Struthio camelus: one gene and its partner. The protein of the gene in region 1 purifies or fractionates together with the protein of each later gene. This does not show direct contact. Links are inferred from orthologs where the notes say so. Each region holds a gene or a part of one and is shown on either strand. Other genes may lie near its edges.

The links.
Region 2: the proteins of STX6 (region 1) and VAMP3 purify together in Homo sapiens (affinity purification with mass spectrometry; 5 studies listed by BioGRID and IntAct, counting the BioPlex papers as one, with this or other methods). This does not show direct contact. The link is inferred for Struthio camelus from reciprocal best matches to the Homo sapiens genes STX6 and VAMP3.

What each region holds. Positions count from the first base shown.
Region 1 is NC_090949.1:6,931,810-6,939,504, forward strand, and holds the start of STX6 (syntaxin-6), read right to left. Parts: upstream 3,193-7,695; 5' UTR 3,118-3,192; coding exon 3,083-3,117; intron 1,037-3,082; coding exon 867-1,036; intron 250-866; coding exon 155-249; intron 1-154. UniProt on the Homo sapiens protein: SNARE promoting movement of transport vesicles to target membranes. Targets endosomes to the trans-Golgi network, and may therefore function in retrograde trafficking.
Region 2 is NC_090962.1:231,658-239,367, reverse strand, and holds the start of VAMP3 (vesicle-associated membrane protein 3), read left to right. Parts: upstream 1-4,478; 5' UTR 4,479-4,608; coding exon 4,609-4,610; intron 4,611-5,915; coding exon 5,916-5,997; intron 5,998-6,818; coding exon 6,819-6,977; intron 6,978-7,679; coding exon 7,680-7,710. UniProt on the Homo sapiens protein: SNARE involved in vesicular transport from the late endosomes to the trans-Golgi network.

The DNA.
Region 1 (7,695 bases):
AGAGAGAGCAGGTAACAGGTTTGTCCTCTACTGCGGGGGAAACCAGTTTCCAGTTCAGCACTGAAATGGCCGCAAGCTTTCTGCTTTCCCACCGAAGTGGCCCCCCCACCCCAACGCTTGTGCCCCGTTCCTACCTGAAGCCCACGTTCCTTACCCTGACCACCTGCCGCGTGCTTGTGATGAAGGTTTTCCGTATACCCAACTCCGTTGCATCGAGGTTGAATTTCCGAGGGTTTGCCTCAACAATGCGTAGAGAACAAGTCAAGGAATCACTGTTTGCAGGGTGCAGTACGTACGCAGATAGAGAAATCCTGACCACTGAGAAGTCTATCACGCGGTATAGCGCCTCCATTTACCTGTGCCTTTTCCCAACATTCGATTAGCAAAGTACAAGACACTAAAGGAAAAAAGCACGGCTGCAACATACTTTGCAGAACGCACGAGAAAGAAACCACACGCTCGTGTGGTTTTTGGTTGTCTGATGCTGTGCAGCACTTTCAGGAGTGTTCAGCCGAACACAGGGAAAAGGAGTATTTCTGGAAGCCAGCCTCGAGTAGGACTGACTACACAGAAATCCAAGTTCATTCAACAGAACAGTTTTCTGGGAAGAAAGCATCTTAATAGACACCTTTTCAAAAGGTGAACAAAAACGCAGAGGGAAATTCGTGCGCAGAACCTGTTTTGTCATCTTCCTCTCTCATTTGCAATTCGAGAAAACCTGGGGTAAACTGAAAATTCAATCCCGAACAGTCTTGGTTTCTGCAAAAAGCAACTACTGGCGAGCACGAGCACTTGACTGTTTATTGCAAGGTGTGAACTGCCTCTCTCTACCTCCAAAGACGGCACCAGCAGTGCAAAAAGGATATTAATTGTTTCATCCAGGTCTTCCAAGTCCCACTCGATGCTCCGCAAATTGTTCCTGAGCTCATTAGTGGTCCAGTCAATTTCTTCTCTTGTGGCTATAGAGGGATCTTGCAAGAGCTCCGTCCACCTCTGGAAGAGCCCCTGGGCAGTATTCACTGCTTTCTGCACCTCCCTGCAGTCAGGATAATTAAAGAGAAGTGAAGGGATTATTTTTAGTTGTTTTGCCGCAGTCATGCAGGGACAGTCCCATGTCCAGGAGAGCAGGGATGTGCAACCTCCTCCCAAACATCTTTCCTTCAAGTATTTTTGGTTTATTTTGTAAAATAAGGATTCACCACGCTTCTGGACAAGCTCGTCTCCTTTAGTGTTGTAGCATGAAGTGCTGAGCAACAACTCATAGTTCAGCTACCGGAGGTTTCTGTTCAGTGTCACAAACAGCAAGATAGGGCAGTGCAACTGTCTGATCAAGACTCTTATTTGGCAATTATTATTTTGCATTTCTCCCAACAGCTTTCCTCTAAAGACTGTTGACTACCTAGGCAAGATACCCCAAGGGCAAACAGAATTAGAGGAACTGCCCCCACGTTACAGTCATGCAGACTGTCCAGCGCAGCACTGTTTACTTTAATTTAGCATTAAAAAAATACACGGCTCTACTGCACTGGCTTAGCCAACAGAACTCTCTTCTGCTGCTCTCAGCTTTTTAGAGAAGAGCGCATTCACAGCATGGGAACATAGGCTTTGCTGACAGCACTGAACGCTGCATTCACGGTTTGGGGCAAGAGGGCAGGTAACTGTCGGTGTGATTATCCATACGTACAAACACTATGGACCATTCTCTTGGGCTAACGGCGAGTCAGGACGAGGCAGACAGACAAGACCAACGCCAGCGAGACTTTGCTGGCTCTTGAAAGGTGGCCACGAATCCAAGAGCTTGCACACAGGATCGTGCAAGGGGCGCTGATCTCCAGTGAATCAAAGCAGTTTACCAGTTGGAGAAGCCTAGATGGGTGAACCACGTCCTCACCCAGCAGCCCTCGGAGGGCCATTGGGCTCCAGGTCTCTCTACATTACATCATTATGCTGAAGTCTCTGCACCTTGATGTGTGTTCCTCCTCTTCTCGGACATTTATGGCTCAAAGAGTCTGTTGCATCTACTCCCCTAAAGTTAGCAGCCAGGACTAAGGATCTAGTGTGGTTTGTTTCCTCTGTTACTTGCTAGGCAAAGTTTTGGGTGTTTTTTTTTTTTTTTCAAATCTGAATGTGCTCGAGGAAGTCCCTACAAGTGGAAGTCTAAAGCGGAGCTCGATGTTTGCAGATGGGAGGAGTTATGAATGAAAGGAAAGCAAATTGAATGAAGCACGGCTGGGCTTGAACACCAACCCCTTCCACTGCAACCTGCAGGAGAAGAATCAACACCAAAAGCGGCAGCACATCCCCGCTCCCCTCCCAACCCTTTCCCTCACAGCGCGGGGAATCTCTCTGGAAAGTCTGACAGGACGTTTGCTCCCCACCCACGGCCTTTAGTGGGTTTTTGTTGTTGTTGTTGTTGTAGTTTTGTTTCCCATAGCACCAGTTCAACCTGGAAGAGCGATTCGCTTGCGTTCGCCCCCTGAGCGAACTCCGGCTGGTGCCGCGCTCCTCCCGTTCGCAGCAGCTTCCTCCGAATCCCTCCACCGCTCCGGACGGCCGCTCGCGTCCCCACGGCTTCGCTGCGACACGGAGCCGGACAACCGGCTCCCACCAGAAGCGGGGAAATCACCCCGGCCTGCTTCTTAAGAGGTCAAAGGTGCTTCGCCCCTCTTCGTTAGGGTTCCCCTCGCCCCCTGCCTCGACCGCCTCCCTTCCGCGGCCCTCCGCGCCGCCCAGCCGCCTGCGAGGGGGTGGCCGCCAGCCTCCTCGCGCCGCGGCCGCCTCGCCGCGAGCGGCCACGCGCGTCCCTCGCGTGGGGCCGCCGCCTCGCCGGCCGCCCTCGGGGGGGTTCCCGGGGCCGGGGGGGGGGGTCCCTCCTCCCCTCCCGAGCCCCTGAGCAGCAGCAGAGGGGGCGGCGAGGCCCCGGCCTGGCGCACGGGGGCGGGGGGTGGTGGCGGCTCGGGGAGGCCCGATCCCCCCCCCCCCCCACCCACGGAGGGACATCCCCGGTGTGGCGGCGCCGCCGCGCAGAGGGCTCGGGCCCGCCCCACCCCCGCGGGACCCCCCGCAGCCGGGCCCCGCTCACCCCTTCACCACGAAGAAGGGGTCCTCCATGGACATGGCGGCGCCGGCCCCGCTCCCTGCCGCCGCCGCCGCCACCTCCGCCGCCTGAGCCCGGGCGCCCCGCGCGCCCCCGCCCCGCCCCGCCCACGCGCCTCGTCACGGGCCGCGCGCCTGCGCCCAGCGCGCGGGGGCGGCACGTGACGCTGCCCGCCCCTCCCCCCCCTCCTTGCGCCGCGCGGCGCCGTGTGGCCGTTGGCCGCTGTGGTGGTGGCGGCGGCGGCGGTTCCCTGAGGGAGCGGCGGCCGCTCCCGCCGCTCGGCCCGGCCGCCGTGCTGCGCTCTGCTCTGCCGGGGGAGGAACGAGGGGAAGGGCCAGCCGGTCCCTTGTGCTCGCGTGGCCCTTCGTGGGGTGCCCCGCTCCGGAGGGCCCGGCCCGGCCCCGCGGCCGCTGGCTGAGCGAGGAGCCCCTGGCTCCCCGCCTTCAGGCTCCTCCGTAGCCTCTCAGCCTCCCGGGCGGCTCTGAGGGATTGGAAAGGGCTGTTGCTGCCCGTGGCAGCCCCGAGGCGCTGGCACCGAGAGGAGGGACCCCCGGGCAGGCCTGGGGCAGCGTCCCCGCCGCCCTCCTGGCAGCGCCCGGCCTGGGCTGGCCCTGCGAGGCCCGGGGTGCGCTGCGTCCAGCGATCCCCCCGATCGCTGCTGTGTTCACCAGAGGGTGTGGCCTGGCCGCCGCTTTCCTCGTGCGGTTGCAGTCCGGTGCCGATAGCGAAGACGGTGCTGGTTAGCCGAAGGAATAGGTACAAAGCCTATCCGTAGAGATGCTTTCTCAGCATGTGAAAGGGATAAGTCGCTTTTGCAATCGCAGCAGATTTACTCACGAGCGTGGGGTGGGAAGGCTGCGGCGCGTGTAAAACTGGTTTCTTTAGTTTGCCGAGTGAGCCATCCGCCTGCTGCTTTGGCCAGCCCCGCGCTTGGAAAACCACCGCTTCTCAGGTGTGGCGCAACTCGCAGGAGCGCTAGGGCTGTGTTTGCGGCCGCTCCTTGCATCACCTCGGATGGCTTGTTTCCCACGCAGGCAGGTTTCAGGGGATTCCCGCGAAATGTGCTGTGCTGAACATGCCCTGTGCAGAGCTGGAGTTGCCTTGGGACTCCGAGAGCACTCATGGACAGGAGCGGAAAGCAGAGTGCCAAGGAGACACTCGCTCAGTTACATCTGCCCCCCGAAGCCCTTGTCCTCCAAGCCCCGCAGTCCTCCTGTGATTTCCACCTGCGCTTTGCACTCTTCAGGGCTCCCATCCCTCCTCTCCAACTTCCCCGTGCCCAGCTGCCAAAGCTCCTCTTGTGCAATACTTGTTTCTGTCCCCCCTTCACTGAAGTCCTCATGTTACCTGCAAAATAACCCCTGTTGCCACTACCCCTCGTGCTGCACTGCGGCCCTAGCTGCCTGCTCTAGCGCCTTTGGACTTCTTGCCTTTCTCTGGAAATGCCAGCAGGCTTGAGCTGACCGTAACTTTTGGATGGAGGAGGGACACCAGCACTTTTCCAAGCGGGGAAAGAAGAGCTTGGGCTGGCCTGGAGCTGCTGAGCCATTCTGGATTCCTCCTGTCTGCCCTGCGAGAGATGTTACAGCCAAGGCCTTGCTGCCGTGTGGTGCAGCCAAGAGGTACCGTGCTGGCTTTGCTTCAGGTGCTGGGGTGCTCTGCAAAGGCAGAATTTCTCAGGGCAGTGCACCTTATCTACATACGTAGTACAAACAGGCTCAGAGGGTGGCGGGTTGTTCCAGGAAGTACAGGACACCGTGGCAGAGACACAGCTCACGTGTGTGAATACACACCCTCCGCTGTGAAACCTTTCAGAAGCAGCCAGTCGGCAGCTCGAAGCGTGTCGTAGCCTTGTTGCTGCCTTTTCAGCGTCTCCCAGGGAGTCGCTCTTCGTGCTTGGACTTGGTTGTGTTAATTACTTGGTTGTCTGCTCGTGCACTCACAGAGATGGTGTATGCTGAGCATCACACCAAACGCTATCTTGGTTAGATTTGTTCAAACGCTTGTAAAAGTCTGGCAATCTGCAGCTCTTTGCTGTCAGTGGGCTGAGGCTGCGCCGTTCAGCTCGCTCACGTTGCAAGTATCCCACTGAATCTTCACTGTGCTGGGAATGAAAGAGCAAAGCTCTGGTAGCCCCTGAGAGTTGCTAGCTGGGAATTTTGGAAGTCCTCTAATAAATTACGTGAAACCTTTATTCACGTCGCTTTAGGGAGAGCAAGCGGCTCTTACACCTTTGTGAAAAAGTATAAAGCTTCGTGGTGCTGTTGAGGGCTGAAAATAAGGAGGCACTTTTGAAATGTAGGGAAAGTGCAAACCTCACAGGAAGAAAAAAAGGCAGCCTTTTTTATGATGCTGGGAATTGAGTTAATTTACATGATGTCGTAAATTCACACACAAGAAAGTCAAATTGCTGCTGTATTTTTTTAGGATGGAAGTATTTTTGCTCTGTTTCTTGTGGGAAGTTCCGATCTTTTACTTCGAAGCACTAGGGAGCGTTCTGGTGGCTTTCCCCACGCTCAGCTAACCTATTTCTCCACGGGTGAGGAGCGCTCTGTGAATGGCACACGGCGCAGCTGCAGAACTGGTCAGGAAAGATCTGATTAAACACTTTTGTGCTGAAAAGTGCCAACTCATCAGAATCGAGACCGTCCGCAGAAATGAACTGGGTTCACTGAAACTTTTATCAGAAGAATATTTGTGACAAGTGTATACATGTGTGTGGGGGAGTGTGTCTGATCCCGTACTAGCTACTAGTCTGGTGTTAACAATATGCATTTGACATGGAAGAGATGGCTTTTCCTTCTTGGGGAAAAGCTGGATTTGTTTAGATTTGGATTTGCAAAAGTATAGGGGATTTTTTTCCCCATAGACAAGGCTTTACAATGAAAGGAAGAAGCATTAAAGGAAATAAGGTAAATGAGTTTCAGATGCTTCCATGTGCCTTTCTTCCTTGTTTGCATTTTTAGTAAAAGTTGTTGAAGATTTTCAATGGTGGTTGTAACCGGAGGATTAGGCCAGTGATAACTTGACACAAAACACTAGTCTGTGGTTAAACATTCAGTGCTGTGGTGGGCTGCAAGAGTGTGCACCAAATCCTATCCAGGCATGGCCCCTCTGCATTCATAACTAGCTTTTCTGAGCCTCATTTTTAGACATCACAGTGTGAGGTTTTATGGTGACTTCCCTCTAAAACGCAAAGGGGGCAGATGGCACGAGGCCTCTACTGCGCAATCGTGTGTCATGTTGATATCGGTGACTCTGAGGTATTAAAACAAAAAGGTCTCAAGGGGTGCCTGTTCCTTGCCAAGAGGAAGGCTTAAATGCTGGGTGCTTCCAGCCACACGTGCTCAGCCAGCTAGAGATGAAACCTGGAAGGTACCAAGCTGCCCACAAGTTTACGAGGCAGCTGAGAAATGTCAGTAACTCAAAGAGATCTCTGCCTTCCCAGGGCACAAAATAGAGCCAAAGTGGAGCAGGTGAAGGCCGCAGAGGCAATGGCTACCAGTTCAGCAAGGTGTGAGAGGAAGCAGCTAAGTTACAACTAGCTCAGTGCGTGGCAGCGCTGATGGAGTGGGTTTCCTTGGGCTTGCAGCCTGCAGTTGGATTTTCTGGTATCTGGGAAGGAGTAAAGCCCGACTGAAGCTTTTGCCGTGGCTGTGGCTTTCCTTATGTTGCTCTTCCTTGCGGGTTCTCTGTTGTCTAACAAAAGCTGATTTCATGCTGTAGCCTTACCCTCAGTTGGGGTAGGAATAGTGAAAGGCCTGCCTGTATAGACACTGCAGCCCCTAAGTAGGCAACCAGAAAAAGAAGTTCAAAATGCAAATAAGCATGGAATAAATGAGCAAATGCAAGGTAGTAATTCATGGAGGATGCAGGATGACTATTCAGAATAAGGGTTGTTTTGGAGAAAGTTAATTTTCCTCTTCATAGTGCATGAACAATTGGTCATTTAATGAAGATGACAATGGGAAATGAAATTGAGCAAAGAAGGTGTTGCCAGAGCGAACCTCGGGAACTCACTGCCACAAGATGCCAATGATGCCGAGAGCTTACTCAGATTCAAAAAGAAATTAATTACGTAAGTAGTGAGGTGCCAGATCGCCGAAGTCGTCATTATGTTTTTCAATCAGTGACAGGACAGGAGGTCAGGCTGATTCCAGCTGTGATTTAGATAGTGGAACGGCAGTGGAGCATATTAAACAGGACATCTGCGGCACCCACGTGAACGCCCAGTGAATCTGTCCCCGGGCAGAAATTAGAAGGACCTTTTCCTAGGCAGCCTTACTCCATAACCGTTTCTTGCTCATCATCCTGCTGTCCGAGGAAGACTGTCCTGAGGCATCCTGCCAGGGCTCTAGGCTCTGTCCGAGGGCAGGCAGTCGTTTAGTCGGCCTCGCAAACCAGGTCAGCTGTGCAGAGGGAAAGGACAAAGTGGCCAAAGGCAGGTCCCTACAATGGGAGAGGGCCCCAGATCGAAAGGAGCAGGGAGATCAAACCCTGCTAGCAGGCACAGACACTTTCTTTTTCAGTTTCCCTTTATTGTGGGAAGAGAGGTTTGACACAGGCATGATCTGCTCTGTCCTTGCTACTCTTCTCAG
Region 2 (7,710 bases), on another chromosome or scaffold:
CCCAAGACTTGCATGTAAAACTAGTATAGATGTCTTCTCTTTTGTAAGTTTTATTTTTGTAACCGTGCATGTAAAGCATCACTGAATCAATGGATCTGTTGAAGAACTCAGCTGCTGGAACCATGCAAATGTTTTGAATTGCCCTTAAAATATGGAAAATGTTTTCTGAATGCTTTATATTCTTTCTGCTGTAAATTAAAAACAAAGAAAATTTCCCCATACGAAGTGTGGACCTTTTTTTTAAACACTCTCTCTTCCATTCTAGTAAAAAGAGCAACATATTCCTTCAGTAGCTATTAATAACCTTAGGAAAAAAAGCGTTTCTTTTACTCCATAACCTGCTTGTAAATAATACCTGGTTATAATCTGAATGGTCCAAACTCTACCCTCTCTGGGTGTGCAGCATCCAGAGCGCAGTGGGATTCGCTAAACAGAACCGCACGCTCCCCAAATCGTCAGCATTTTCTGCTTCTTACAGTCCTGTATGTAACCTTCATCAGGTGCGTAAAGCAGCACATTGCAGAGGAACTCTTCTGATTTTTCACACAGTGAACTCTTCCAGGTCTTTGCTGCAAGGCGCTGATGCCCAAAGGTGCTCTGTGACTCCCCAGCGTGGCTCTGCCTCCCTGGGACCTTTCCAGGTTCGGAGCCAGCCGTGGAGCTCCACAACACCGTTCTGCACTGCCAGCTCAGGCCCCCGGGCACTGTAGGCAGCTCCCACGGCTTGCCACCCAAGCTGGCAGCCATCAGACAAAATGTTTAAGACACCAGCCACTTCTTCTGTTTCTTCTCCTGCAGTCCTCACCCCTTAGAGAAACTTTTCTTTTTGAGTGCGGTCTTCGCTTTTACAGTAGAAAGGAAAACCGACTTAACATCTCAAACATTGGGCACCCATTCTCTCTAAGCTTCAAATTACAGATTTTGCCAAGATAACTACAACTACACAAAAGCACTAAAAAACCCATTGTGTTTAAACAAAATACAATAGGGACGGGTTCTGCCCAGCTGCAGCTCACTGGAAGCAGGCTTGTTTGGCAGAAATTAATTTTCAAGGCAGTATAATACACTTTAATATGGTCAATGTTCTGTGAAATTATGACAGAGTGCTAGTTTAAAAAGAAAATAATTACTTGTGAAGTAGCTCAAATTGGTTGAATGAATGTTTTGATCAGGGATAAAGGCATGATTTTGTTTCCATCTTTGCTCATTGCTGTATCTGCAGCATGGGCAGCACCATTTGCTGTATGTACTCTCAAAATGCTGATAAGGACAAAATGGCATTTTTCCTTTTTGTAGTATAACAAGTTTTCTACAAGATCCAGCAAATGTTTTGTATGCTTGTATCTTTTTAATGAAATGAAAATGAAGAGAAAAAAGAGTAGTAGCAGGAAAGTGTTGAGAAATATTTGACCGACTCTTCATTGGTCTCAATTCTAAGTTTCCTAACTCAGCAGCTATAGCTAATAGTATATATCTGGCAGATATGGAATCAGCTACAAACTGCTAGCTTGTCTGAGCACAAATTATTTTCAGTACCTCTTCAGTTAAAAAAAAAAAAAAAAAAAAAAGATCACTTTCAAAACAGGGCTCATGTCCGAGCTTTCCATGAGAAATCATGCACATGTAGTAGTAGAATCCAAAATCCTATGCTGCACACAGTCCAATCTTACTAAAATTCATGAGGCCTTCAGATGTCCAAACCTAAGAGGGTCACATTTAATAACACAATAATATTGATAACAGATACATAAGTTACCTGAACTAACCCTCAGTAAGGCAAGTAATTGTAGCCAACTATGAAGTTAGCCTACCAGAGAAAAATACTTTTAACACTATCTCTTTTTTGTAAGACTATGTATTATCACAAGTTCTTCCAATACCCATGACTGCAACAGTAGACTAGATTTAATTAAGAGAGTTTCTTCTGGAATTCAGTGAAACACGTTTAAGTATGTTGCTCTTTAAGCATAAATCTACATTGTTATTTAACCCCCCAAATTGTTCTCCAGTTCTTCCCTGAGCGTCCATTTTGCATGCCTGTTAATTTGGGGGTTCTCCTTTGCCGTAAGCCAGCTAATTCTCTGAGCGATGAGCCCAGGCGCACTTCTGGACATAATTGACTTTGGGGCCCATTCACAGTAGACAGCAGGGTAAGACCAGACCCGACTTGGTACACTGTGCAAGCATGCAAACCATCCTGGGAGGCTTTGTGCTCTTGAGTGTCCTCCGCTTACCCTTAGGTCATGCAAGGCATGCACTCAGTGTGGTATGATTAAAAATCGTAACTGGCAGGCTAGACCACACACACATACCCACACAGTATATAAGAAAAATGATATCTTAAAAATCATCACAAGGATCGAGCAGCAACAGGCCAAGTGTTTGTTAGGCAATCAGTATAATTGTATCCATTCACTTCAGAGGGTGCTGCTCCTAAGAACTGGGGGATACCCACTGCACTACTTGCCTGGGAGCATGAATCACTCTTAAAGTCATGAATACATTTAGCACTGTAGATGTAGCTTAAGCATCACCATGCAGGCATACAGCTGATAGCCAGCTTGCCACTAAACCAAGGAAATGCTTACTCTGTTTTCAGAGAACACATGGAGAAGACTCACTCCTGAAGGAACTGAGACTCCTTAAAAAAAATACAGATCTTTTTCTTTTGTTTTCTTTCCGTATGCTTGAAATCCAGGTAACAAAGTAACTTCAGCTGTACAAAAGCCTACACAGACTTGGGGAGGCATACCATAATGACAGCAGCAACATGTCCCTTTAACATATACCGAACAGTGTAGGTGTGTCCCTGCCATTACACAAGCACAGAAGCTGTCCAGAGGAACAGGCTGTGTCCCTTGTATGCCAGGCAAAACTGCATGTGTGTGCGCGTGCACATGTATACATATGCACTCTTTATCAAATCTAAAGGTGATCTCTTTCACAGATCATTCCTAACCTGGTTGCTGCCTGTCCTCTTCAGTACCTCACTGTTTCACTGATGTCCACCATCACAGTGTGGCCAACTGTCTGCAAAAGATAAACATCCCAGGTTTAGCCAGGAACTGAGAGTCCAGCCCTTTCCTGGCAGCTTTTGTCAAAGGCGGCTCCCCCAAGCCCGTTTGTTAGCCCTCTTCCTCCTTTGCACTGTACTGAAGCAAAGTATCACAGTGCTTATCCTGCTAGGCAGTTCCCACCTGCCATAGAACAGGTGTGGGTTTTTACCTTGCAGGCTTGTCTGTCACAGAAAGGCTGGTGTAAGGGACAACGTGCAGCCTGCTCAGCAAGCTGGGTATGCCTGCTGAGGGCGGCCTGCCAATTACAGCAGCGTGTCTGCCACTGGGCTGGGGGAGGGGGGGGGAAACACTCATATTTGGGCCTCCCTGGTAGCATAACCACACAGTTCAGAGGGCTTTGAACAAGCAACACCCCCCGCCCCCGGCACAAATCCTCTCAGTCCCTGTATGGCGGGGTTACCTGCTTCACAGGCACAGCCCACATCGAGGCCTCTGCCGATGCCTGGTTCAAGCCCGCGTGCCCGCAGCCTGGCACCAGCCGCTCCCACCAGGCGTTGCACTCACGCAACACGCCCCGGCCACCCGCGGGCACTGCCGGGCTGGACCGGTGGGGAGAGCCGGAGCGGGCGGAGAAACCCCTGCGGCGCCTGACGCAGCGGCGAGCGCCGCCACAGCCGTTCCCGACCTCCCGCCCCGCCCTCGCCACCACCTCAGCGGCCCCGGCGCGCGACCCCCCCCCCTCCCCAACGGCCGCGAGGCGAGCCCGCCAACGGCCGCGGCGCGCGACCCCCCCCAACGGCCGCGAGGCGAGCCCAACGGCCGCGGCGCGCGACCCCCCCCCTCCCCAACGGCCGCGAGGCGAGCCCGCCAACGGCCGCGGCGCGCGACCCCCCCCAACGGCCGCGAGGCGAGCCCCCCCCCCCCCAACGGCCGCGAGGCGAGCCCGCCAACGGCCGCGGCGCGCGACCCCCCCCCAACGGCCGCGAGGCGAGCCCAACGGCCGCGGCGCGCGACCCCCCCCAACGGCCGCGAGGCGAGCCCCCCCCCCCAACGGCCGCGAGGCGAGCCCAACGGCCGCGGCGCGCGACCCCCCCCAACGGCCGCGAGGCGAGCCCGCCAACGGCCGCGGGGCGCGACCCCCCCCCTCCAACGGCCGCGAGGCGAGCCCGCCAACGGCCGCGGCGCGCGACCCCCCCCCCTCCAACGGCCGCGAGGCGAGCCCAACGGCCGCGGCGCGCGACCCTCCCCCTCCCCCTCCCCCTCCCCAACGGCCGCGAGGCGAGCCCGCCAACGGCCGCGGCGCGCGACCCCCCCCCTCCAACGGCCGCGAGGCGAGCCCAACGGTCGCGGCGCGCGACCCTCCCCCTCCCCAACGGCCGCGAGGCGAGCCCGCCAACGGCCGTGGCGCCCGACCCCCCCCCCGCCCCCCAACGGCCGCGGCACGCGCCGGCCGCCCCGCCCGCTCGGGGCTGTGGCCTAGGCAAGGCCCGCCCCGGCTCGTCACATCGCGAGGGCTGGCGGGGCTGCGCGCACTTCCTGCCGGGCGCGGTCGGACGTTTTCGGTGGGCGGCAGCTCGACCCCGGCGGCAGCATGTGAGTGTGGGCCGGGGTGGGCGGCGGGCCCGAGGTGGGGGGGGGAGCCCGCGGCCGGGGGAGCCGGGGCGGCGGGCGAGCGGCGCTGGGCGGGCCGTGCCGGGTCGGGCGGCGGCCGGAGCAGGCCGGACGGGCGGGCGGGGAGGGGCGGGGCGGGGCGGGGGGCTCGTGGGAGCGGCTGTGCCTGGAGCCGTGAGGGGCGCTGCGGTGGCTGAGAGCCGCGTAGTGTCGCTGGCCCAGGCACTGGGGCGTTCGTCTTCTGCTTAGGGTGGGCTATCCTGTCCTGGTTTCTTCAGGCCAGTCTGAAGGGGCTTCTGTCAAGTCTACCAAGGCGGTCTAGTCTTGGATTAGCAGTGAAAGAGTATAAAAGGGTGACCTCGCTGTCAAGGTGTAGGAGCAGTTCTGTTGTCATACATGTGGACTGCTCTTGAGCCCTGTCATAGGCTTCCTGGTTTGCTCCTTGTACAGGTACACCTTTGTTCCCTTTAAATGTAGATTTAGGTTAAAATGTATAAATATAGCTAATATTCAAATTCATCTTTCTTATATCAAGGTGCACTAAACAGTAGTGTGTCTGATGCAGAATGGATGAAAATACAGAAGAGCAAATTGAGTACAGCTAGTCCTAGAGACGGATAACAAAAAGACATTAAAGCCGCGAAGAGGGCATGGGGAATGTGTAGAGAGGATCTTGGTTCAGTTACAGAGATGCAAAGTGTTGCAGCTGGTAAAAGGAACTAGATTGCCTGACCTTAGGAATTAAAAGCTGACCGCAAGTAAATTGCTGTATGCTGAATGCTTTTTCCTCATTGTGCTTTCTCTGGCTCCATGCCAACTGTTTCAAACAAAACGGGTAAGCACTGGAAGAGCGTGTAGTTAGAATAACCATTAAGTTTCTGTATTTCATTTTTGGAAAGCTGCTGAGTCTTGAAGCTTAGTATTTGCATTCTTTCTGAAGAAAACACCCCTGAACCCAAGCTCTTGAATGTTTGAGCCCTATGAGCCATTGTAGAAGTCACTGTATGCCTTATTACAAGTTGCATTATTAGCCAGCCACAGCTGTCTTTTAGCACTTCAAGCAATTAATTCACTGGCAGGAGGTTTTAGGGCACAGCTTGATTTATACCCAAGGTCAGTGGTTAAAACCTCATTTCTCCCATGGGAAAGGAAACTGCCCCATATTTCTTCCAAGGATCCAAGGTCCCTGTTTTCAGGAACAGCAGATAATTTCTAAACTTAAGCTTATCAACTTGAAGAAAATTATAAAAAGTGATTATAAAATAATGATTGCTTTCCTTAATGCAGGTCAGCAAGCGGCCCTGGAAGCTCAAATGTTGCTGCTGGCAGTAATCGTCGTCTTCAACAAACACAACACCAAGTAGATGAGGTAAAGGTCTAGTCTGATAGCAGTGTAATTCTGTCTCTTTCAGAAAACCTGATAAGCAAAATAGATAAGCTTTGGCCGCAGCAGTTATTATTCCTTTATGTGAAAGGGAAGCCTAGTATAATTCAGCTTTCCTTATTATACTTGTATCACTTTGGGTCTTGAAAAGGTTTAAAACAAAAAACAAAAAAAAGGGGAGGGTGAGGGGTGGCAGCATGTCAAAAAACTTCCATTCTGCTGTTCTGCCGGAGTGGGGAGAAGTTGCCAGCGTCTAAAGGTTAGCTGCAAACTCTATGTCTGAGGATTGGGCGTAAGTTAAAATAGTACCCTTTGTTCTTACAGAGAACAAACTTTTCTTTCCTCGGTGGCAAAGGCAGCTGATCGTCTCCAAATAAGACATGCCCAAATTTCTGAGGAATCCAAAAGCCGTTAACGGTTAAGAGCAGCTTTATCTGCTTGAACAGGATAGCACTTAAAATGAATTGCATGTCAAAAATATTTTGTCAGTCATGGTAAAATGCCTCAACTCCTTCTGAAGTAGGTCGTAAATAATTTCCCAGGTTTCAGGGAATGCCAGCACAACTTAGAGAACTTTTCTGCAGTACTGACGTTTGAAAGTAGGTATTAGGAACTTCCAGCTGCATGTGAAATGCACATTTTCACTGAAGCTCGCGATTAGATTTCCTAAAAGGCAATTGCTCCTACTCCTTAGGAGAACATTAAAAATATCAAAAATATCAGGTATTGGGATCTGTTGTCTGCAATTAATCTCTCCAATGGGTGATACAGTTGATGTACTTACTGTAAGTGTTAAATTGATGTAGGTGGTTGACATCATGAGGGTGAATGTGGACAAGGTATTGGAACGAGATCAGAAGCTGTCAGAGTTGGATGACCGTGCTGATGCGCTGCAAGCAGGAGCTTCCCAGTTTGAGACCAGTGCAGCCAAACTGAAAAGAAAGTATTGGTGGAAGAACTGTAAGGTAACTGTGGCTTGAATACTTGAACTACTCAGTATTACAATCAGTATCTCAGAAAGCAGAAGTAAAAATGACTCGACCAATGTTAAGTTATAGCAGCTAGTTTTAAAACATATACCACAGAGCTTGTGCGCAGTGATCAATGTCTGGATTACCAGCCCTGCTCCTTGACACAAGACCTTGTCTAAGATGGAAATGGCCAAAGGGAAATATTATTGCAATCTGAGGCTTTGGGGAACAAGAGGGAAAAGACCAAAAATATATCGGTGGAGCTAACCTGCAAGGAAGCATTGCAAAGCCGAAGGAGCTCGCTCAGTCTTCCGCAGCTCCTGGCAAATGTTGGAACCTTCTTTGAGCAACAAAGTGGAAAATGTGGTGTAGGATAGGAGTAGAAGAGGTGTTTAATAGGATTCTTCTTACTCCTGTTGGTATAGTCACCTGAGACAGGCTTTGCATAGAGACATAACGGAAGGGAGCTTCTTGGTCTACTTCAGTTGCCAGTGTGCACAACCTACCATTTCTGAGTGTCAATCAAGATGAGCTTGCTGCACAAGTTCTTAACAAGTTAACAAGTACCTTGTTAATCTAGCACACAGTGCAAGAGTACCTTGCAATGGCTGCTTCCCCCCTTGCCCCCAGTACCCTAAAAGCCTGTAAATGCTGCTGCATAGTCTTGTAGTAAGTGTGTTGTGGCTTTTTTCACAGATGTGGGCAATATTGATAGCTGTTGTTCTCA